Elephas maximus indicus: one gene and its partners. The protein of the gene in region 1 binds, or shares a complex with, the protein of each later gene. Links are inferred from orthologs where the notes say so. Each region holds a gene or a part of one and is shown on either strand. Other genes may lie near its edges.

Region 1 (7,963 bases):
TGGGGTCTTAAACACTAGCAAGCAGCCATCTAAGATGCATTGATTGGTCTCAACCCACATGGAGCAAAGGAGAATGAAGAACACCAAAGACACAAGGTAATTATGAGCCCAAGTGACAGAAAGGGCCATATAAACCAGAGACTACATCAGCCTGAGACCAGAAGAACTAGATGGTGCCCAGCTACAACCGATGACTGCCCTGACAGGGAACACAACAGAGAATCCCTGAGGGAGCAGGAGAGCAGTGGGATGAAGACCTCAAAGTCTCATAAGAAGACCAGATTTAATGGTCTGACTGAGATTAGAAGGACCCCAGAGGTCATGGTCCTTCTGTTAACCCAAGACAGGAACCATGCCAAAAGCCAACTCTTCAGACATGGATTGGACTGGACTATAGGACAGAAAATGATACTGGTGAAGCATGAGCTTCTTGGATCAAGTAGACACATGAGATGTTGGGGGCAGCTCCTCTCTGGAGAAGAGAGGAGAGGGCAGAGGGGGTCAGAAGCTGGCTGAATGGATACGAAAATAGAGTGGAGGGAAGGATTGTGCTGTCTCATTACAGAGAGAGCAACGAGGAGTATATAACAAAGCGTATATAAGTTTTTGTATGAAAGACTGACTTGGTTTGTTAACTTTCACTTAAAGCACACACACAAAAAAAAAAACCTCCTTGAAAGAGTTGACTTTGAACTCCTTTCTAATTCCTTTCCTTTCCTTCTTATACCCACTGCAGGCTTTTGCCCCCACTATGTCCCTGAAACTGCTCTTGTCAAGGTCACCAACGATTCCACATCACTAACTCCAAGGTTCTCACCTTACTTGACCTCTCAGCAGTATACAGTTGACCACTGCCTTCTTCTGAAAATACTTTTCTTCACTTGACTGCCAGACTACCTGCACTCGGTTTTCCTCCTACCTCACTGGCTACTCCCTTGCTGTTTCCTTTACTGGTTTTTCCTTTTCTGTCTGCTTAATTTTGGAGTGTCCTGGGCTCAGTCCTTGGTCTTCTTCTCTAGCTACATTTACTTCTCTGGTGATCTCAACCACTTCTATGGGGCAAACTTATATCCCCAGCCCAGATCTTTCTCCCCAATTCTAGACTTGTATACTCAACTGCCTCCTCAAAAGCTCCACTAAAACTGAACTCCTGATCTCTACCCACCTGTTCCAGGCTCAGCTTTCCTAATCTTCACTTACAGCAGTGCCGTCCATGCAGGCACTCAATCTTTATCTGAACCCTCACATCGGACCCACTCTGATTCCCCCACTTCCAACATCTTGGCCCACGTCACCATCATCTCTTCCCAGGATATCTTCAAAAACTTCTTAACAAGGTCTCCCAGCTTCTACCCTCACCTACCTACATCTATTCCTAATAACTATTCCTAATAGCCAACATAATTCCATCTAATGTAAACCCCATCATGTCATTTATCTGCTCAAAATATTGTAATGGCTCCCCATTTGCCTTATAGTAAAATCCAAAATGCTTATAATGGCCCACAGGGGCTTTTATGGTTTGCCCCATCCTCATTTTATCTCTGACTTCCTTTCTTTCCCTTTTCCACCTCCAGCCACACTGTCCTCTTTGCTGTTTTTTGAAGCTGCCAGGCATACTCTTGATTTATAGTCTTTGCTCTGTTCCTTTGGCCTGGAATGCTCTCCCCAAGATATCTGCTTGGCTGCCTACTGTGACCACTCTATTTAACATTCCATCCCACCCTCATTCTGCTCTACTTTGTTCCTCCCCTCCCCCCCCCCGCCAGCATTTAACATCTAATATATTCTATAATTTCTTATTGTTTACTACCACCATGTGAGCTCCATGAGGACAGGGATATTTGTCTGTTATGTTCACTGATGTATTCCAAGAGCCCAGGCAATGACTAAGGCAAGGTAGACCCTCAATAAATATTTGAATGAATTGTAAGGCTTAGAGATGTTTGTATATACCACGTAGGTGTTCAATAAATACTCGGCATCACTACTGCCAAGATGAATAAGATACAGGCCCAAGCTTGGAATCTACTCTGTGATCAAAAGTAGTATACTTGGAGCTGTACATTAGGAAGATACAGGTCAATAGTGTTCAGCACCGACTTGGGGGGCAGGGGAGCGTGAAGGAGGACTGGAGACGGGGAAGGTGCAAGACGCAGGAGAATTTGGCTCTTCTCAAACCATCCCAGGTCTCCTCTCCCATTTTATAGCTACATTTTTATGTACCTGTAGGGAACACATTTATTCAACACATATGCTGTGCCTGGTGCTGGGTACACAAGAATTCCTATCAATCCTCCAACATCCAGCGGTACTCACCTCCCCTCAGCGAAGCCACCCCACTCCCCAACAGAACTAATCACTCCCCCGCCGTTGTCCCCAGAATCTGGTCCTTTTCAGGACGTTTCCCACTGGAGGTTGACTACGTATCTGTCTTTCTGCTACCCCCGCATTGGGCCCTATAGATACAGGTGTGCAATGAGGGCTCATAAAACTCCCTACAGCCTCAGAAGCCCCTCAGATCAGTGGAGGCACTGGGAAGGCTTCCCAGAGGGCTGGCTTGACCTACGTCTTCCAGGCTGTGTAGTTTTCCCAGCAGAGAAAGTGGGGGGAAGGCCCCCAGGCAATGGGTACAGTGCGAGCAAAGGCTCAGAGAGCCCACCCCATCTCCCCCAACATCCTTCAATGCAAACACACACACGGGGGTCCCCACGCGCAGGGACACACAACCAACCGTCCTCTTGCCGGTCCCCACAAGGGACCTTTTGGGGGTCTTGTCCCTGGTATCACTCAGACCCACCCCCGCCAGCCGAGCGTCCAAGCCTGCAAAGTCTCTCACCGCCGCCAAAGCGCCGCTCACCCGGCGCTGGGCGCCATGTTGGGCCCGCCCCCTCTAGGGAGCAGGTCCGGGCAGAGGACAACAATACACGGCCCCTCCGCGGAGCTGGAACGAGTCCCCTAGCCTTACGTCCTGAAATGATATAAAAACACTGTTTCTAAATATGTGGGAAGGAGTACTCTCTCCCGTCCCAATTACTCTGATTTATTCCTTCACTACCCGTCGGCCAGGACCTTCAGGAGGCGCCACCAAACCTGGGCGGGGAAGCCCAGAAGTACGTAAGGCCCCGCCTCCTTCGGTGGGCACTGCGCACGCGCTCGAGCTGCTAGGCTGGATTTCCAGCAGCCGTCCACCCCTCCCTCTGAATTTAAAGGGCCCGCTGCCTTGCAAAAGTTGGTTCGGAAATAGAAGAATGGTTGTTCGTGGACCGCACTTTGTCATGGGACCTGTGCGTTTGGGGACGTTGTTTTTCGTTTTGGCAGTGTTTGGGGCTCGGGCCAGAACGCCGAAGGAGCAGGACGATGACTTAGAACGCTTGCCCAGCAAATGCGAAGGTATCTAAAGGGAGTAGCATCTATCTGTATCCCCCTGCCGCACTTCCCTCGGCTGGGAGCGCGTTTGGGATGAGGGTGGGAGGATGGGAATGTAAGAAAGGTTGGGGCCATACAGTAAAGAGACTTGTATGCTATTGCTAGAAACATTGGCTGTATTCTGCTCACAGTAAGAGGACTGCAGGGGTGTTAAAGAAAGGACTGATACGACCAAAGGGACCGTGATGGATAGGTCACTCGACCTTCTTGAATGCCTGTAGGCGGTTCGGTGAACTTGGCAAAATTCGAAAGAGATCAAGGAAGGGAATGGCATAGTGCGATCTCAAGACTATGGCAGTACAGTTCCCATGAGACATCCAGAGGGAGCCCCCTTTGTCTTGCGAGGTTGGGCCCCCATGGTTTGTGGGAATTGTATTTCAGGGACTATGCCCAGGACTGCCTACTGCGTACTGAGCATCTTCGGGTGTGTGTGTGTGCGTGCCCCTTGTCACTGGACCTAAATCTGGAGGGCGTGCCGGAGCCACGTGTGAGGTTCATACCTGTGGACATCCTCTGTCCCAGCTCCACAGAGAGGCTCTCAAATTACAGGACCTGTGCACCCCTGAGGGGGGCTGGGAGTGAGCAACTCCACCCTTCAAGCTCATAAACCAAAGAGGAGGTCACACTGCTGTGAGTTTCCCTATGATGTGAGGCCTTGTAGAGGGTGTGCACTGTATGGATTTTACAGCAAGCAGCATCTTCTGTGGCTGCGTTAGTGTGGGCCCAACCTGGGAGGGGCACTTCAGAGCTGGGTAATCAGGTGCCCTGGTGTCCCTAGTTTGTTGCCTTCCTGATGGTAATTTCTTCCCTGGATCCTTTTTCTCTTCACCTCATCCCTTACTGCATATCAGTAGCAGTGTTTCTCAGACTCTGGTCCTAAGCTCTCTTCTCCCTTCACTTCTGTGTCCCCACTCTTCTCTCCACCCGGCAACATCCATCATCCTTTCTGAACACAGACATAAGCGTGTCCATCCGCTTGTCCTTATTTTAACACCCCTACAATCCTCTTACTGTGATCAGAATACAGCTAACATTTTGGGCATAGTGTCTTAAGTATCTTTGCTGTAACCTTTCTTATATTTCCGTTTTCCCATCCCCTATCCCAAAACGGCCCCAGCCACACTGAACTTCTCACTGGTCACCGGTCACCGACTCTGCCTTATCCTCTTGCACCTCTTGCCTTTGCACATTGTTCTTCCCTTTGCCTGGAGTGACCCTCTCCTTCTGTGTCTGGTAAGCACCTACCTATTCTTCAAGACCCAGTTTAAACATTACCTCCTCTGGAAGTCTTTTTCCTCATGTGTCACCTCCCACTGTATCATGCTCCTTGAGGGACAGGGTGTGTCTGTGTATTCCAAGCCCTAGCATAGCACCTGGTACGTTTTAGGCACTTTTGTTACTTGCTCCAGTATTTAGTTTGCCTGTCACTTCTGTATTGGTCATACGCTTTTATTGGGACCCACCACGTACCAGGTCGCGTGCTAGGTGCCGGAAATACTGTGGCAGAGCAGGAGTGATGTTTGCTCTTCAGGAAATCACTGTTGAATGAATTTTGTGTTTCCTCATGAGGATGTCTCTTTATCTGAATCCCTAGTGTAGAGTCCATTGCACCATATTGTCATCATCTGTCTGTCTACACTGGCAGTGTCACATGTCCCATGGATAGGGATTGTGGGTTTTATTGCTGTCTATATTAGTGTGCATACAAAAGTCACTCAATAAATAATTGCAAAATAACAGCAAACGTATATACAGTGCTCACTGTGTGCCAGGCATTATTCTAGGGGCCTTACATATATTAACTTATTTCATCTTCGCCGTACCCCTTTGAGGGAGATACTTTCATTATCTCCATTTTAGAGATGAAGAACCAAGGCACAGCAAGATTGTCACACAGCCACTAAGTGGCTGAGCCAGGATTCTACCAGTTAGACTGGCCCCAGAGCCTATACTTAACCGTCATGCTGTGCTGCCTTTGGTCATCTGCAGAATGAGGTGCTGGTGTGTTTGTTTTTCTCTCACATCTCCTTGAACGTCTTTATTCCGTAAGTCTGTAAGCTGCTGAGCCTGGAGCTACAGGAGGAGCTGAGCCGCACTGGTCGATCTCGAGAGATGCTGGAGCTGGGGCAGGTGCTGGACACAGGCAAGAGGAAGAGACACGTCCCTTACAGCATTTCGTGAGTCTTCCTTGGTGTCCCTTCACTGTAAGAGCCCTGAGAACTCCTACAGCATCCAGGGAATCCTTATTTCCCCTCTTCCCACAGGGAGACAAGACTGGAAGAGGCCTTGGAGAATTTATGTGAGCGGATCCTAGATTACAGTGTTCATGCTGAACGCAAGGGTTCACTGAGATACGCCAAGGTCAGACCCTTCTCCAGGGCAGCCATGGTGGGGGATCCCACCTCTTAGAGACAAAGACTTATATTCCCTGAGGTCCACAAGAGATGTCTGCCCATCACTCCCCATCTCCAGTGTCCCCTTCCCATCATCAGACTCCCCCCTCTCACCTTCATGGAATTCACTCCTCAGTCTCCAGTAGTTGACAAAGTGGATATGGTGGGAAAGAGGAAGAAAGAGGTGGCCAGCAGGCTGATCCCATACAGGGGTATAGTGAGCGTAACCAGTGCCCAGGGGCAATCTCTAAGTTGCTTGGAGTCCCTCACATTCAAGCACCCAGGGGCAATCTCTATATTACATGCCTTCCCCAAATTTGAGCACCCAGAGGCGATCTCTAAGTTGTGTCCCCACCCCAATTTCAAGATGCATAGCCTTCGATAGTGGCAACTTGTCAGCAGAAACACCTTATCGCCTCTTGTCTGGCTGAGCCAGTTTTCATATTTGTGGCGCCTCGAAATGTTATTCCGCATGTCATCTGGCACCCCCTTCAACTTGCATCTCGGGGCAAGTGCCCCACTCTGCACCCATCTAACCCCCGCACCCCACTACATCTCTGAACCCAAATTCCTCATCTCTCAGGGCCAGAGTCAGACCATGGCAACGCTGAGAGGCCTGGTTCAGAAGGGGGTGAAGGTGGATCTGGGGATACCTCTGGAGCTGTGGGACGAGCCCAGTGTGGAGGTCACGTTCCTCAAGAAGCAGGTAGGATAAGATATTGTGCTGCCCGAGGGGGGAGAAGGGGACCTGAGAGGAGAACTGGGTCCTAGAATTTGACAGTAGGAGACGTCTACCTCTGAGCAGGGAGAAGAGGGCAGAAGTGGTAAAATGAAGACTACCGTGAATTGAAGTGGGCTTGGGAGAATACCAAGAAGTGATAACAGAGGCTAATAAATAACCCCTACGGCTTATTGTGGGAGCTCTGATTAGAGCTCGGCTGATAACCAAAAGGTTGGCAGTTGGAATCCACCAGCTGCTCTTTGGAAACGCTATGGGGCAGTTCTACTCTGTCCTATAGGGCTACTATGAGTTGGAATCAACTCGATGGCAATGGATTTGGTTTTTTAACTGCTTATTGAGCACTTGCTATGTGCCAGATTCAGGAGGCCATACTTCCCAGCTGCTGCCTCATTTACCCTCACAACAACCTCTTGAGGCAAGTACTATTACCATTCCCCATTTTACAGGCAAGGAGCTGAGATTCAGAGAAGTTCAATAAACTCCCTGGCACAGAGTAGGTGCTAGGAAATGTTTATTGAGTGAATGGGCATCACACATCTAGTAAGCCAAGCTTAAAACCCAGGCTGCCTGCCTCTCCAAGGTCAGCCAGGTGGGATAGGGGAGACAGGAAGTGGAGAGCAGAGAGGAGGGTTTCCGAAGCCCAGCAGAACAGACGCCCTTTTGGCCCTTCCTCCTGACTAGTGTGAAACAATGCTGGAGGAGTTCGAAGACGTTGTGGGAGACTGGTACTTCCACCACCAGGAGCAGCCCCTACAGCATTTTCTCTGTAAAAGGCACGTGCTTCCAGCTGCAGAAACTGGTAAGTGTGTGGGCTGGGCTCCTTTCCTGCGAGGTCACAACCTCCCCTATTTCCAGGACCAATATCTAAACCATCTTCTGTCACCCAACCTAGCGTGTCTAGAGGAAACTTGGACTGGAAAGGAGGAGATCACAGATAGACAAGAGAAAACAGAAGGGGAGGAGGAGCATGAAGAGGAGGAAGAAGAGGTAACCAAGACACCAGGCCACCCCAAGCATGACCCAGAGGACCTTTGACTTGTCTTGGAGCCCCCAGGAAGGGCAGGGGTCATGGAGAAGAACCTTCTGACGTATGAGCTTTCCCTGCCCCACAGCTTTAATGCTGTATGTTGTGTGAGTGACCCATTCCAGGGCTTGTAGCTGTTCTCTCCTATCTGAGGCTAGGCAGGATCCTGGTGGTACAGCATGGCATACTACTGGGAGAGGCTGGGAGCAGCAGGTTGAAGTCCTGCCCCAATAGATGGGCCCTCTGCCTGCCATCCAGCACCTTGAATGGCAGGTGTGTGTGCTGACAATACCCAAGGCTTTCCCCTTTAAATATCTCTATTGCTTCCAGAGGTCAGCAGTGACTTTGGGGCTGTGGAGCTTGGGAAAGTCCCTT
Region 2 (7,306 bases), on another chromosome or scaffold:
CTGTCTCGTTACAACACGCAACACAAGACAGCACAAACGGACGCTGACAGATGTCACAAGATCACCGAGAAACACAGACTGCTGGCTACTAGAATCTGAAATAGACAATGAACGACCTCCCCCTAGAGCCACACGCTGAATTCAGACTTCTAGCCTCCTGAAGTGTGAGAAAACAAATTTCTGTTCCTTAAAGGCACCCATTTGTGGCATTTCTGTTACAGCAGCACTAAGAAACTGAGGCAGCATTTTAGGAGTAACTCTCGCTTCTTGACCATCTTCCCTTACTCAGCTACCTAGTAGACGGGTCCTCTTGGAATCTACAACAGAAGGATCTCTGCTAGGTTTTTTTTTTTTTTTTGTAATTGTACTTTAGATGAAGGTTTAGAGAGTAAACTAGCTTCTCATTAAACAATTAATACACATTGTTCCATGACATTGGTTGCCAACGCACAACACATCAATGTTCTCCCCTTCTCGACCCTAGGTTCCCCATTACCAGCTTTCCTGTTCCCTCCTGCCTTCTCCTCCTTGTCCCTGGGCTGGTGTGCCCATTTATCTTGATTTCCCACATGCCCAGATTCTGCCACATCGCAGCCATGCTGGTAAGTTCTTTCTTGCATCTAACCCTGGTTCCTCCTGTGTTATTTACTTTCCTCCTTCCTCTTGGTGTGTGAGGCTCACCCAGGGAAACAAAGCACACACGGGGCCATCAGGAAAGGAAAGCAGCTCTGTGCCGTTCCCACAAGCCTGCTCCAAACCTGCTAGGGTTCCTTGTAAGCAGTACCAGCACCCAAGCTCAGCTAACAGGCTGCTGGTCATGCTCCTTCGTATCACCCAAGTGTGCAAGACCATGAACTCCCTTTGGGAAACTCATAGGTCCCTGACTCAGGTCCACCTTCTACGTGGTCAGTCAAGGAGACAGGCAAATTAAGAACACAGCTTCCCAAGTCAAGTGACCTAGGTTTAAATCCCGGCTCTGCCATTTATTTCTTGCATTCTTCTGAGACAGGTCTATCCCTTTTGTGCCTAAGTTTTTTCTTCTATAAAATGGAGATAATTCCAGTGCCTACCTCATAGGGCTGCTGTGATTTCTGTTGTTGGGTGCCATCGAGTTGATTTCGACTCATAGTGACCCCATGAGACAGAGTAAAACTGTCCCATAGGGTTTTCTTGGCTGTAATCTTTATGGGAGCAGATTGCCAGGTCTTTCTTCTGCAGAGCTATACTGGGTGTGTTCAAACTGCCCACCTTTCTGTTAGCAGCTGAGCACTTAACCACTGTACCACCAGGGCTCCTTCATAGGGTTGTTAGGAGGATTAAATGACAAATTACATCTAAAGCACTTAGAACAAAGCCTGACAATAGTGCCTTAGCTAGTATTCTGAGCCCTCAAAGGAAACAGGAAGGAGAAGGTGCTTGGGAGAAGGTCAGAGTCCTCAAGGATGGACACAGACTGGGATCCTGCTGGAATCCTCAAAGATGCACTCTCTCACTCCATTCTCAGCTTTAGGAGGTACAGGTTCTGACTTATTTACCATTATATCCCCAACACCTAGCCTGTGCGGGCACATAGCATGGCCCCAGCAAAGAGATGAAGAATTAACAAACTGCCGTGTCAGCCGTCTCTCAAAGGAGCCCAGAAATTGAAAAAGCCAAGACTCTGCAGGAAAGCAATGGAGATCCAGTTCTCCTCACACATGCCTGGCCCCAAAGAGAAAGGAGGCGGTAGGCACAGGGCAAGCACTGGTTGGAGGAACCAGTTTCAGAGTACAGGGATGAGGAGTGAGTGCCCCAGGGTTATATGCTCTGTCACATCACCCCCAGGGGGGCCCTTCCAGCTGCACTGTGGTGCTGGAAATTCCTGGGTTCTTGGGAAACAGCCCAGAAACTTGCCTTTCCCCAAATTCATTCCCTTCTATTCATGCCTAGACAGTGGGCTAAAAGAGGAGGAATTTTGTTTGTCTGCATCCCCAGTGTATCCAACGCCCAATACCACAGTCTGTGTTCAGTACAGCTTTGTGGAATGAATAAGTGCCCCCCAAGACTTCCCACCACTTCTCTGCCTCTTGAATATTCATCTTTCAGGACCCAACTCAAATGTCTCTTCACTCTGAAGCTTCCCCAGCCATCTCAGCCAGAGCACTTGGCACCTTATCTCCTGTTCTGGGACCCACACTAGCAGTGGATGAATACCATCGTTGCACCGTCGGCCACCCCCCCCCCGACAATGCCAGGCGTTTAGTAGGTGCTCAATCAATGCTTGCGGTGAGTAAATTAAAGCTCCCTTCGAAAAGGCAACCAATTTCTTCAGTTCTTCCTCAGAAACAGTTTTTCTTCAAAGAGGAAGCTAAGACCATCACCTGTCTACCCATCAGACCCCACAGTGGGAGAACACTGAGGGGTCCCTCCTTTTATGTCTGTGGACTGACCTCCCTCTCTCAACCCTGGCTGGCAGGAGCACCCCCAGGCTCCCTGCCCACCCTGGTTCTCCTCCTCCTCCTCCCCACCCCATCTCTCAGGTATAAAGCACCCGACGGCATAATGAAGCCACCTGGCTTCCAGGTCATCTTGGAGCGGAGCTCTGTGGACGTACAGGTATCTAAAGAACTGGGGCGCTGGGTTCCTACTTAGGAGCTGGACACTCCTCTGCAGCTCCCATGTAGAAGAGCTCACTCAGAAGGAAAATGAGCAGAGCTCTGGGGACAAACGGGGAGATGACGAGAGCAAAGTAGCCCCCATAACCCGCTCGCCTCCAACACTCCCCTAAGGTCTGCAGCCTGAGCTTCGGAGCCTCAGCGAAGGGGGGCGAGACTGACACCCCATCTTTCCTGGTTTCTCCAGCCCCCAATCCTACCTCCTTGGCAGGTGGGTCCCACGAAGCACGGAACGTGGACGCAGACGCCGTCTCTTGCAGCCTCTCGCTTGTGTTCTTGGGGAGAGCCTTGCACCCCTCCCCCGACGCCCAAACTGAGCCGGTCTCCGCCCCCGCAGGCGCGGCGTGTTTACAAGTCAGTGCCGCGCCGCCGATCCCGAGTTGAAAGCTAGCTGGGCAGGAAGTGGGGCGGGGGGGCGGGGGAGACAAAGGGGCTGGGTCCTCGCTCGGCTGCTGTGTGCCCCCACTCGGCGCCCGCGCGCAGCCGGGCGCTCCTCCGACGCAGCACGCCCCCAGTCCGCAAACGCCCGCCCCCCACGTGCCCGGGGCGCGGGAGCGCTCACCGAGGCTCAGGTGTGGGGCCGCGGGGCCGGCGCCGTGCGGGTTTCCACACTTCTGCCTGCTGGGCGTTCGTGAATGATCGACACGCTCCCCAGGAAATAAATAACATTAGGTACAATTTCCAGAACTCTTACCGTATACGTCAGGCACCGTGACAAACCCTGTCTCTGCAGTACCTCATTTTTTTCGCTGGTATCAATCCCAACCCCATTTTACAGATAGAGGAAACTGAGGCACAGTGAGATGAGATACTTTGTCCGAAGTCCCACAGCTGGCAAGCGTTAGGATGCAAACCCAGCGTCCGCGCCCTGCCAGGCACCGGCTAACGACGACGAATAAGGCGCGGAGGAGCGAGGACCCGCGCCCGAAGGGCTCCCAGTCCAGAGGGGCTGATGGGCAAGTGAAAGAAAACCACAGGCAGGCGCGTGGACGCGAAGCCCCTGGAGCGAGGCGGGCCCCCGCAAATGTGTGCGCACTGAGGGCGAGATGTAGAGGGAAGATCTGGACTAGGTGGCCGCCGTCGGGGTCTTCAGGTACAAAATCATAGGGTGCACGCTTCAGGGCTTCCCAAAAGGACCTCATCGGGAGAATCCCCGGGGGAGCGAGATAACAACACGGGTTCTCAGCTCCCCCCTCCACACACACACACCGACTACGTCTGTGGAGCTGGGCTGGCTAAGCCAGGTGTTGCAAATCTGCAAAACGTCGCAAGTGTAGACGACCTCCTGGATCATTCCAGGGGTGTGCTCTTTATGAGAAACTGTTTCATATCGAAACAGATTTCTTTTAATTAGTAAAACCGAGGGCACATATTCTTGGCCCATTTCCTGGCCCACAAGGGCCAGGTGAAACTTTCGCTCTCGGAAGGTCTCGTGAGCCGGGGCAACAGCGGCACCCCGATCCAGGTCTGCCGCCCCGCCCACGTCCACGCCCCGCCCCACGCCCCGCCCCACGCCCCGCCCCACGCCCCGCCCCACGCCCTCACCACCCCGAGACTACAAGTCCCATCTCGCCCTGCGCTCAGACACATTACGCCAGAGCAAGATGGCCGACACAGCGGCTTCAGCCGGGGCTGGCAGCTCCGGAACGGTAAGGGCAGGAAGCGCGGGGCCGAAACCGAGAGAGTCTGGATGTTCCGTAACTTCCCCCTGGCCTTGTCAACAAGCTTATATCCACAAATTCAGCCCATCATAAACTCCAAGTGGAGAAGGGTCTTTCAGGCCGTACGGGCCCCCCCTTCTTGTGACTTGGCGGCGGCCTTCTGAGTTGGAGGACCTGTGTCCTGATTGGCTCGTTCCTTATTGGGGGGTTGGGAATCCGGAACACCTCCTGATTGGTCCGAAGATACCGTTTTCGCCTTTACCTTGGCCAACCAAAGTTGGGAGAGATTCCTGTTTCAAAATACTTAGCTTCCCTATTTTTCTGTGCTTGTACACTTTTATTTATTTATTTTTTGTACACTTTACGCTCCTCTCCCGAGGGTTATGGGTTGTTGTTTTAATTTTCCTTGTTAGTGAAGTGGCGTGGGGATGGGAGGACAAGAGGAAGAGTTCCCCCCGCCCCCGCGATAGGCATGAATTCAGTCCCATCGCGTGTGCTCCTTCAGTAATATATTCTGACAACCTGCTAAGGTACAAAATACAAAACAGCCTTTGTGCACTGAGTTTACGTTAATGGTGGCAGAATAATTAGGAAAAAGATAGGGATAAGGGTTGTACAACATGAACAGTAGTCATTGGCCTTGAATTATGCCCAGAAAAACTATTCAATTGGTGAAAGTTTTGTTGTGTGTGGAGCCCTGCTGGCGCAGTGGTTAAAGCACTGGGCTGCTAATCAAAAGGTCGGCAGTTCAACACACCAGCGGATCCATGGGAGAAAGATGTGGCAGTCTGCTTCCATAACGATTACAACCTTGGAAGCCCTATAGGGTAGTTGTACTCAGTTCTATGGAGTCGGTATGAGTCGCAATCAACTCTATATAGAATTGCAGTGAGTCAGAATCGACTTGATGGCAGTGGGTTTGGGTTTGTTGTATATATTTGCACCACATAACACACACACCGAAAATATCATTCGGGGGGGAAACACCATTATGTGTTATTGGACTTGTAAGTTTTAGGTAGGCAGAGGTTGTCTGTATTTAGACCATGTTCAAGTTGGGTGTTCAGTTATTACTCAATGGGCCCAGATTGCTAAGTCTAAGGGGTGACTACCTTTTATTAGACCCGTTGCCATCCAGCCAACTCATAGTGTCCCTGTAAGACAGAGTAGAACTGTCTGTAGGGTTTCCAAGGCAGTAATCTTTTACAAAAGCAGATTGCCACATCTTTCTCCTGTGGAGTGGCTGGTGGATTTGAACTGCCAACCTTTCCGTTAGCAGCAGAGTCCTTAACCACTGCACCACCAGGGCTCTTTACCTTTTATTAAGCACTGACATACATATTTAGGAAATAACTTTTGCTCGTCATTGACTCTGTGAACTGTGTGATTGCATCCTTGTCCTGCGGATGAAAATTTCTCTGGGTTGCTGATTGACAGAGATCAGGAAGTAAACAGTCCACTAACCCTGCTGATAACTACCATCTGGCCCGGAGACGAACCCTGCAAGTGGTGGTGAGCTCCTTACTGACAGAGGCAGGGTTTGAAAGTGCCGAGAAAGCGTCCGTGGAAACATTGACAGAGATGCTGCAGAGCTGTGAGTACTGGGAAATATCAGGCTTTCTTTGAGTCAACCCAAGTATCTGTTCTGTGACCTGAGTGGTGATAATGTGAGAGAACTTAAGACAAACTAAAGCATAGTAAAGTGATTGACAGGCGTTAGAAATCAGGTAGACCTGGGTGTAAATCATCACTCTGTCACTTAATAGCTTGGGCAAATCACTAAACCTTCTGAACCTCAGTTTCCTCTTTTGTGAAATAGGATAATAATTTACACCCCATAGAATCGTGAGGGTTGGAACCCTGGTCGTGCAGGCGTTAAGAGCTTGGCAGCTAACCAAAATGTTGGCAGTTCAAATCCACCAACCGCTCCTTGAAAACCCTATGGGGCAGTTCTACTCTGTCCTGTGGGGTGGCTGTGAGTTGGAATCAGCTTGACAGCAACAGGTTGGAGTTTTGAAGTTAAGTAATATGTATATGTAAACATTGAATGCTGGGAACGTCATAAGCTCTTGATGATGTGTAGGTGCCCTATTACTGTTGTTTTGCTGTCTGTGCTCAAAGAACAGTCAGTTTTGTTGGAATGCCAAGACAAATTTCCGTGAAATAGATGCCAGCACATTATGTAATCAAATGCTATATTGTTTGATACAAAAAATGAGGATGAATAAATTTTATAGAATGAAATAAACATTTGAAAAAGGAAATGGCGTGAAGTTAAGAAGGCTGTTATGGCCTCACATAGGCTTTTCTGCATGTACAATGGATTTCCCTGTTTGGGACTTTTATTTTGGTGGGGGTGAGGCAGAATGAGGGATGGGGATGTTTAAGATGTTTTTCAGGGATCAACACTTGCGAAAGGAAGTGAGAGAAAGGCTTGGGCAGAGGGAGAAGAACTACAGTGCAGGCCGGACAAAGACCACAGGAAACCTGGAGTATTTCTTGCCCACCAGAGTGTCCTACATCAGGCTGAAATGGCCTGCCTTTGTACTCCAGTCCTGATCAGTCACTGGATGTGGGTGTGATCTCAGGCGGAGCAGCTTTCTGCAGCTGATATTTGGAACTTTTTAAACAGCAAATGTTTTCCTAAAGCAGAAACCTCAAACTTTTTGGTTTCAGGACCCGTTTAGACTCGTAAATGTTGAAGACTCCAAGGAGCTTTTGTATATGTGGGTTTTCTATAGAGCAATACAGATATAAATGTTTGTCACATTAGAACATAACAATGGGCAAGCACAGATTTCATTATCCACCAGAGTCATGTCATCCTCGCAGGGGATGTAGCGTCTGCAAAATTCTACATGAGTGAATGAGAGTCAAAAAGGCAAATATCTTGATTTTATTATGAAAATAGTTTTGACCTTGTGGACTTTCTGAAGGATTTCAGGATCTCCCAGGGGTTCCCAGACCACCGTTTGAGAATGTTTTTCCTGA
Region 3 (8,047 bases), on another chromosome or scaffold:
GAATGGTTGAGGCAGGAGACTTTTACTTCTAACTATAAACACTTTCACAGTCTTTAAATTTTTCTGTGAGCATGGGTTACTTCTATAACGTATTAGAAAGTAAAAAGTAAAATTAATACTCATTCTTCCTCTTACTAACACAATATCCATTTCAATTCACCTATCTCTTGCTCACCTCTCACTGCCGTCAAGTCGATTCCGAATCATAGTGACCCTATAGGACAGAGTAGAACTGCCCCATAGAGTTTTCAAGGAGCGCCTGGCAGATTCGAACTGCCGACCTTTTGGTTAGCAGCTGTAGCACTTAACCACTATGCCACCAGGATTTCCCCTATCTCCCGCAGGCACTTATTCTCAGTTTAAAAAATATGATCATCTTTAATTCCTCCTTAACTTTTGCAGTCTCAATCCAAAAGCTTCTGGTATTTTCTCCCCTTTTTGCCATGGGTTTCAGATCATTTTTCATTCTCTCTATTTCTACTACCTCAGTATAGTTTCAAGTTCTCTTAACTTGAAACTCTTATATTTCATTGCCAGTATAATTTTCTTAAAACATCACTTTCATCATACTATTTTTCTACTTAAGAGTATGCAATGTTTTCCTATTATCTACCCCATGTTTTATGGGTAAGCGGTGGTTCAGTGGTAGATTCTTGCCTTCCATGCAGGACAGACGGGTTGGATTTCTGGCCAATGCACCTCATGTGCAGCCGCCACCTGTTTGTCAGCGGAGGCTGGCATACTGCTAATGATACTGAACAGGTTTCAGCGGAGCTTCCAGACCAAGACAGACTAGGAAGAAAGACTTGGTGATCTACTTCCAAAAATCAGCTAATGAAAACCCTGTGGATCACAACGGTCTGATTTGCAACCAATCTAAGGGCATGTCCCTGAATGCTTTGAGAAATCATTAACTTGGTGCCCAAAAATTATTTGTTGAAAAAACAGAAAGGCTTTAAAGGAGTGGAAGACAAGATTGCATAACAGTAAGTTGAGTTTACATAATTTGATTTTAAAATTTTGATAGTATAAAAAAGGAATTAAAAAAAAGTCTGTAATTAAGTAAAACAGGAATTAGCATTTTAAAAAGTCACCAAACCACGATGGGGAATAATGAACCTGGTAATTGCATCCTTGCTAAAATCAAGAAAGTGACTATAGAAATTGAGTAATTAGGGAAGAGGTTCATAATAATGCATAGCAATGATGACTTAGGAATACAGGTGAGTGACAGCACATATTCTGGTTTGTGTATAAGGCAGGAAAGTTAACTATGTATTCGGGGGATATTTTTATTTTATTTATTTATTTTTTAATGATACAGAACCTGTCCTTTTTAGGGAACCTGGTAGCAAAAATCTAATTTGGAGTATGCATAACCCCTAACAATATACTGAAGGACTGGGAAGAGAGAGAGGGAAGCAAAAGCCAAGAGGGTACCATGCTGCTAGTGCGCTTGCAAGGTAACAATGAATGAGAGTTACTTTTAGTCCAAGCTTGGAACTTCAAAGTATCACTGAAATCAAGGATTCAAAAAAATACACATTTCTGGATCTCGAAAAGCAAATCAATAGGTATTATGGTAGTGGGTTATTGGTTAATTCGTTTATTCAACAACTATTTGCTGGATGCCTATTATGTTATGGCACCATACGAGGTTATAGAATACAAATATAATAAACAGAGATCCACAGTCTGCTAGGGAGAGGAAGGGTGAGAGACATACACAGATAATGACAAAACAAGGTGACAAATAACATAAATATGCACAGAATTATGAGAGCAGATAACTTGAGTTCAGGAAACAATTTAACAAAGCAAAATATCCTACAAAAGACTTCAGTTACCCAGCTTGCCATTATAAAAACCATGACCTGGAATTTAAATGAGTGGAAGTGCCTTTCCCTCCCCCTCCTTCACGTCAATGAGATGTGTGACTTGTACTAAGTATTCCAAGTTATCAGATATAGATACTATCAGACATTCACCTAGAAAACATAAATACTGTAGCCCAGACTACCTAAAGAACCCTCATAAGCTGCTCTGATCCCTATAGCACACTTTCATAACCAGTAATACATAAAGAGGGAAGTCAAGGGGTGACTGAGATGTCAGTTAAACTAATGAGTGAAACTGACAAAGCCGAGTTTGGGAAGCAGTGAGTACGGATGCTGTCTATGAAATAAACAGGTATAGAAAGAAGAGGCAGTGTCCCTAACGGAGCAGAGCTGTCAATGAGTGTGTTATGAGCTGAAGAATAGCCAGTCTTGTAAGAAACGGCCGGTAGACGGAGCGCCTGTGACAACTAGTTGTAGTAGTTTGTGGGGAAGGAAGGAAAAGGACCAAGGTAAAAGAGCGTTTAAGACATTCTGGGGATGGTTCTACATGCACCAAAAACGAGACAATCAGAAAAACTGATGCACACTTCAGAACAGAGAAGAGATAAAAGGGTATGGAGTTGGGAGCGGAGACAGGGCTCCAAGGCTGGTGGCGGGAAGTTAGCGGATGAGGAAGAGGCATTAAAGGGATGACTACAGTTTCAAGGGTGAATGGAAGCGACGGACCGTCAGGGGCCAACGAGATACCAGATTTCGGGGAAGAAGTGAGGAACTAAAAACTCGTAGGTGCTAAGATACAGAAGGGGAGACTAAAGGTGTCACCCGTGACTTGCCAAAAGCAATCCTCCCTCACCCAGCCCGGTACTCACAGAGCTCAGAGTACCGATGGCAGCCCCGTCCCAACTGCTGCAGATAACGCTGCAGCACGTCCGTGAGGAGATGGCAGGCGCTGAGCTGCACCGAGTCCCAGCCCAGCGCCTGGCAGATCTGCGCCACCGAGACCCTCAACAACGACCTGGAGTAACTCTCACACATCCCGTTCCGTTGACTCCACCGCAGTCCTTGCTGCCACTGCTCTCCAGCCCCACCGCCTAACCTTAGCAGAGCCCCCGATTCATCCTCCAGGGCACCCGTGGCGGGGAAATCGTCCCCTAGACCCCCGGCGACCACCTCAAAGCTTCAGCAACACAGAGCGCGCGAGCCTGAGAATCGCCATTTTGGACTCGCTCCGCCTCCCTCTGGACTGTCGCCGGGGCGAGGCAGCACTAAACAAATACTGATTGCGTCAATGAAAAAGCGCTCCGCCCCATTTGAACAGATCGATTGTTTTGGTATCAACTCTTATGCCTAGAACACTGCAGGAAAAGACTATGAAGAATTCTAGTAGAGGTTGCGCCCCTGAAAAGTCAGATGGTTGAGGCATTCCCAGTGCGGCTTTCACGTGGAGAAGGAGGTGCAGGCAAACCGCGGTATTTTACGGGAAAAGAAGCTTGGATATGTAAATGAAATGAACGTTTTAGAGAGAAATGTTAATCAGAAAGGCTGTAAGTGCGGGAATGGGGTTTGGGGGAGAGAAACAAACTGAAAACGCGGATCTAATCTGTTCTCGTCGCTGCTTAAAAAGTTGAGCTGCTTGCCATGTTGTTTATTGTTAGATGCTGTCTAGTAGGTTCCGACTCATAGCCACCCTATGTACAACAGAACGAAACACTGCCCAGTGCTGCGTCATCCTCACAGTTGTTGCTATGTTTGAGCTCATTGTTGAAGCCACTGTATAAATCCATCTCATTGAGGGTCTTCCTCTTTTTTGCTGACCTTCTACTTTACGTTGTTTTTTTTTTTCTGGGTCTACTTTACCAAGCATGATGTCCTTCTCCAGGGACTGATCCCTCCTGATACCATGTCCGAAGTATGTGAAATGAAGTCTCACCATCCTCACTTCTATGGAGCATTCTGGCTGTGCTTCTTCCATGACAGATTCGTTGTTTTTCTGGCAGTCCTTGATGTATTCAGTATTTTTTGCCAAAACCATAATTCAGAGACATTAATTCTTCTTCAGTCTTTCTTATTCATTGTCTAGCTTTCGCATGTATATTAGGCGATTGAAAATACCGTGGCTTGGGTCGGGAACACCTTAGTCATCAAAATGACATCTTTGCTTTTTAACACTTTAAAGAAGTCTTTTGCAGCACATTTGCCCAATGCAGTATTTCGTTTGATTTCTTGACTGCTGCTTTCATGGGCGTTGATTGTGGATCCAAGTAAAATGAAATTCTTGACAACTTCAATCTTTTCTCTCTTTATTATGATATTGCTTATTGGTCCAGCTGTGAGGATTTTCTTTATGTTGAAGTGTAACTCATACTGAAGGCTGTAGCCTTTGATTTTCATCAGTAAATACTTCAGGTCCTCTTCACTTTCAGCAAGCAAGGTTGTGTCATTTGCATATTGCAGGTTGTTAATGAGTCTTCTTCCAATCCTGATACTGCATTCTTTTTCCTGTAGTCTAGCTTCTCAAATTATTTGCTCAGCATATGGATTAAATAAGTATGATGAAAGGATACAACCCTGACACACACCTTCCCTGATTTTAAACCACACTATTCCCTTGTTGTGTGCAAACAACTGCCTCTTGGTCTATGTAGAGGTTCCATGTAAGCACAGTTAAGTACTCTGGGATTCCCATTCTTCACGATGTTATCCATAGTTTGTTATGATCCACACAGGTCAAATGCTTTTGCATAGTCAGTAAAACACAGGCAGACATCTTTCTGGTATTCTCTGCTTTAAGCCAAGACCCATCTGACATCAGCAATGATATCCCTTGTTCCAAGTTCTCTTCTGAATCTGGCTTGAATTTCTGATGGTTCCCTGTTTCCAGACTAAGACAGACTAGGAAGAAGGACCTGGTGATCTATGTCTAAAAATATAGGCCAGTGAAAACCTTATGAATAGCAGTGGAACATTGTCTGTTATAGTGCCAGAAGATGAGCCCCTCAGGTTGGAAGACACTGAAAGTACAACTGGGGAAGAACTGCCTCCTGAAGTATAGTGGACCTTTATGACATGGATGGAGTAAAGCTTTCAGGACGTTCATTTGCTTATGTGGAACGATTCAGAATGACAAGAAACAGCTGCAAACATCCAATAATCAGAATATGGAATGTAGAAAGTATGACTCTAGGAGAATCAGAAGTTGTAAAAAAGGAAATGGAGCATGTAAAGATCGATGTCCTAGACATTAGTTACCTGAAATAGACTGGTATTGGTCATTTTGAATCAGACAATCATATGGTCTGCTATGCTGGGAAGGACAAATTGAAGAGGGGTACAGTTGCATTCATTGTCAAAAAGAGCATTTCAAGATTTATCCTGAAATACAAGGCTGTTGGTGATAGGATAATATCCATATGCCTACAAGGAAGGCCAGTTTATATGACCATTATTCAAATTTACACATCAACCACTAATACCAAAGATGAAGAAATTGAAGACTTTTGCCAACTTCTGCAGTCTGAAAATGATCAAACATGCAATTAAGATGTATTGATAATTAGTGGTGATTGGAATGCTAAAGTTGGTATCTTAGGCTGGGTTCTCTAGAGAAGCAAAACCAGTAAAGTGTATAGAGAGATTTATATCAAGGAAATGGGTCACACAGTTGTAGAGACTGGAATGTCCCAAGTCTGTGGGGCTTCACATAGCCGCAGGGGATGGCAAACTCAAGCTCGGTAGGTCAGAGAGAGGGCTATTGCTCACAGGCTGTGAAGATCAATGAATCCCAAGATCAGCAGGCAAGACCACAGATAAGCTGCTAGCTCCAGTCCCAGAAATTGGAGGTCAGATGAACAGGAGCCATCTACAGGATCCAGAGTGAGCAAAAGCCATGAGCCTTGCTAGAATGTCTGCTTATATTCAGTGCAGGCCACACGCCCAAGGAAACTTCCCTTTTCAACTGATTGGCTACTTAGAGCAGATCCCATCATGGGGGATGATCCCAACATCATACGACCACCAAACCACTGCCCAGCCAAGTTGACCCACAATCTTAACCATCACAGTTGAAAACAAAGAAGTATAACTATTTGGAAAATATAACTTTGGTGATAGAAATGACTCTGGAGATCACGTTAGAATTTTGCAAGACCAATGACTTCTTCATTACCAATACCTTTTTCAAGCAACATAAACAGCAACTGGACCCACCAGATGGAATGCACAGGAATCAGAACAACTACCTCTGTGGAAAGAGATGATAGAGAAACTCAGTATCATCAGTCAGAACATAGCCAGGGGCCAACTGCAGAACAGAAGATCGATTGCTCATATGCAAGTTCAACGTGAAGCTGAAGAAAATTAAAACACATCTACAGGAGCCAAAATGTGACCTTGAGTATATCCCACCTGAATTTAAAGACCGTCTCAAGAATAGATTTGATGCATTGTACACTAATTGCCAAAGACCAGATGAGTTGTGGGATGCCATCAAGGACATCATACATGAAGAAAGCAAAAGGCCATTAAGAGGACAGCAAAGAAAGAAAAGACCAAAATGGATGTCAGAAGAGACTCAGAAACCTACTCTTGAACGTAGAGTAGCTAAAGTGAAAGGAAGAAATGATGATGTAAAAGCTGAACAGAAGATTTTAAGGGGTGGCACGAGGAGACCAAGTATTGTAACGACACATGCAAAGACCTGGAGTTAGAAAACCAACAAGGAAGAACACAATCAGTATTTCTCAAGCTGAAAGAACGGAATTAAAAATTCAAGCCTCAGGTTGCAATATTGGAGAATTTTGAATATTGAAGGATTCTATGGCAAAATATTAAATGACACAGGAAGCATCATAAGAAGAGTCACTGTACCAAAAAGAATTTGTTGATGTTCAGCCATTTCAGGAGATAGCATATGATCAAGAACTGATGGTATCAAAGGAAGTTCAAGCTGTACTGAAGACATTGGGGAAAAACAAAGCTCCAGGAATCGATGGAATATCAATTGAAATGTTTCAACCAGGGGATGCAGCATTGGAAGTGCTCACTCATGTATGCCAAGAAATTTGGAAGACAATTACCTGGCCAACTGACTGGAAGAGATCCATATTAATTATCCAACAATATCGTTAATGTTACACTCAAGTAAAATTTTGCTGAAGATAATTTAAAAACTGCTTACCATAATATGGATTAAAGTTCGAACTGTCATTGAAAGCCCTTAACAAGAATGCTGGGACTAGGTGAGGGGAGTGCATAATTTTAGGGGGCAACACAAAACTCAGTAATCAACATTAATTTAATATTTGTTTAAATATTAAATACAGTATTTTTAAATCTAATTTAATGTCAGGATAAAACATCTGTGATGAACAAAGTGTCAGCATTTTAAATAAAGACAGGAACCAATCCTACATTCAAAGAGTGACTCAGCCTCACTCATCTCATACTAATCTCAGCCCTGCTTCCAATAAATTTTATTTGCAAAAAACAGGCCACTTGCAAGTGCACCGTAGTTGCCGATTTGTCTGCCTCTAGCCACTGATCTATCAGGGGAACAAGAAACTTCATTGTCTACAGATCCCTAACAAGTAACCGAACAGAATTCAGTTTGGTGGATGTATCAGAGACTGTTGTCTACTCCAGGGCATTCTCCTACCTCCAGCCAAGTGTTGCCAGATCTTTCCAAGTTGCTGGAAATTGAGTTTTTAGGATAAATACCTTGGTTTTTAAATATTGGGGACACATTTTGAAAGTTTTAATTTGCAATCCAAACTAATTATAGGGTTAAGCCAGATTGGGGCTGTGGGCTCAAGCTTCTGTAGTGTTCCCTCCTCCCATCCCCTCATCTCTTTACACTGTGTCTCTGTTAGCTTCTCTGTATTTAGACATTTCAAAGTGCGTTTAATATTTGAGCTTATGTGCTTCCCCTAATAAATTGTGAGTTTCAGTGTGGTTCTGTATTCCTCTTACAGAGACCGTTTGATAATAGGTTTTATTTATTTATTTTGAACATTTTGTGCTTTAGTTGAAAGTTTACACGACAAATAGTTTCCCGTTCAACAATTTATACACACATTGTTCTGTGATATTGGTTGCAGTCCCCACAATATGTCAGCACTCTCCCCATTTCCACTCTGGCTTCCCCATTTCCATTCATGCATTTTCCCTGCCCCTCCCTGCCTTCTCGTCTTTGGTTTTGGACAAATGTTGCC

What was found.
Region 2: TAF6 (region 1) and TAF8 share a complex: the UniProt entries of both Homo sapiens proteins name them as parts of the TFIID basal transcription factor complex. The link is inferred for Elephas maximus indicus from reciprocal best matches to the Homo sapiens genes TAF6 and TAF8.
Region 3: TAF6 (region 1) and TAF3 share a complex: the UniProt entries of both Homo sapiens proteins name them as parts of the TFIID basal transcription factor complex. The link is inferred for Elephas maximus indicus from reciprocal best matches to the Homo sapiens genes TAF6 and TAF3.

What each region holds. Positions count from the first base shown.
Region 1 is NC_064830.1:91,624,016-91,631,978, forward strand, and holds the start of TAF6 (transcription initiation factor TFIID subunit 6), read right to left. Parts: upstream 3,033-7,963; 5' UTR 2,801-3,032; exon of another isoform or gene 2,735-2,800; intron 1-2,734. Other genes in the region: CNPY4 (protein canopy homolog 4), read left to right, coding at 3,252-3,393, 5,480-5,606, 5,694-5,790, 6,406-6,528, 7,246-7,363, 7,457-7,599. UniProt on the Homo sapiens protein: The TFIID basal transcription factor complex plays a major role in the initiation of RNA polymerase II (Pol II)-dependent transcription.
Region 2 is NC_064819.1:106,460,333-106,467,638, forward strand, and holds the start of TAF8 (transcription initiation factor TFIID subunit 8), read left to right. Parts: upstream 1-4,241; 5' UTR 4,242-4,258; coding exon 4,259-4,303; intron 4,304-5,752; coding exon 5,753-5,909; intron 5,910-7,306. UniProt on the Homo sapiens protein: The TFIID basal transcription factor complex plays a major role in the initiation of RNA polymerase II (Pol II)-dependent transcription.
Region 3 is NC_064822.1:50,500,741-50,508,787, forward strand, and holds the start of TAF3 (transcription initiation factor TFIID subunit 3), read right to left. Parts: upstream 3,066-8,047; 5' UTR 2,874-3,065; coding exon 2,708-2,873; intron 1-2,707. UniProt on the Homo sapiens protein: The TFIID basal transcription factor complex plays a major role in the initiation of RNA polymerase II (Pol II)-dependent transcription.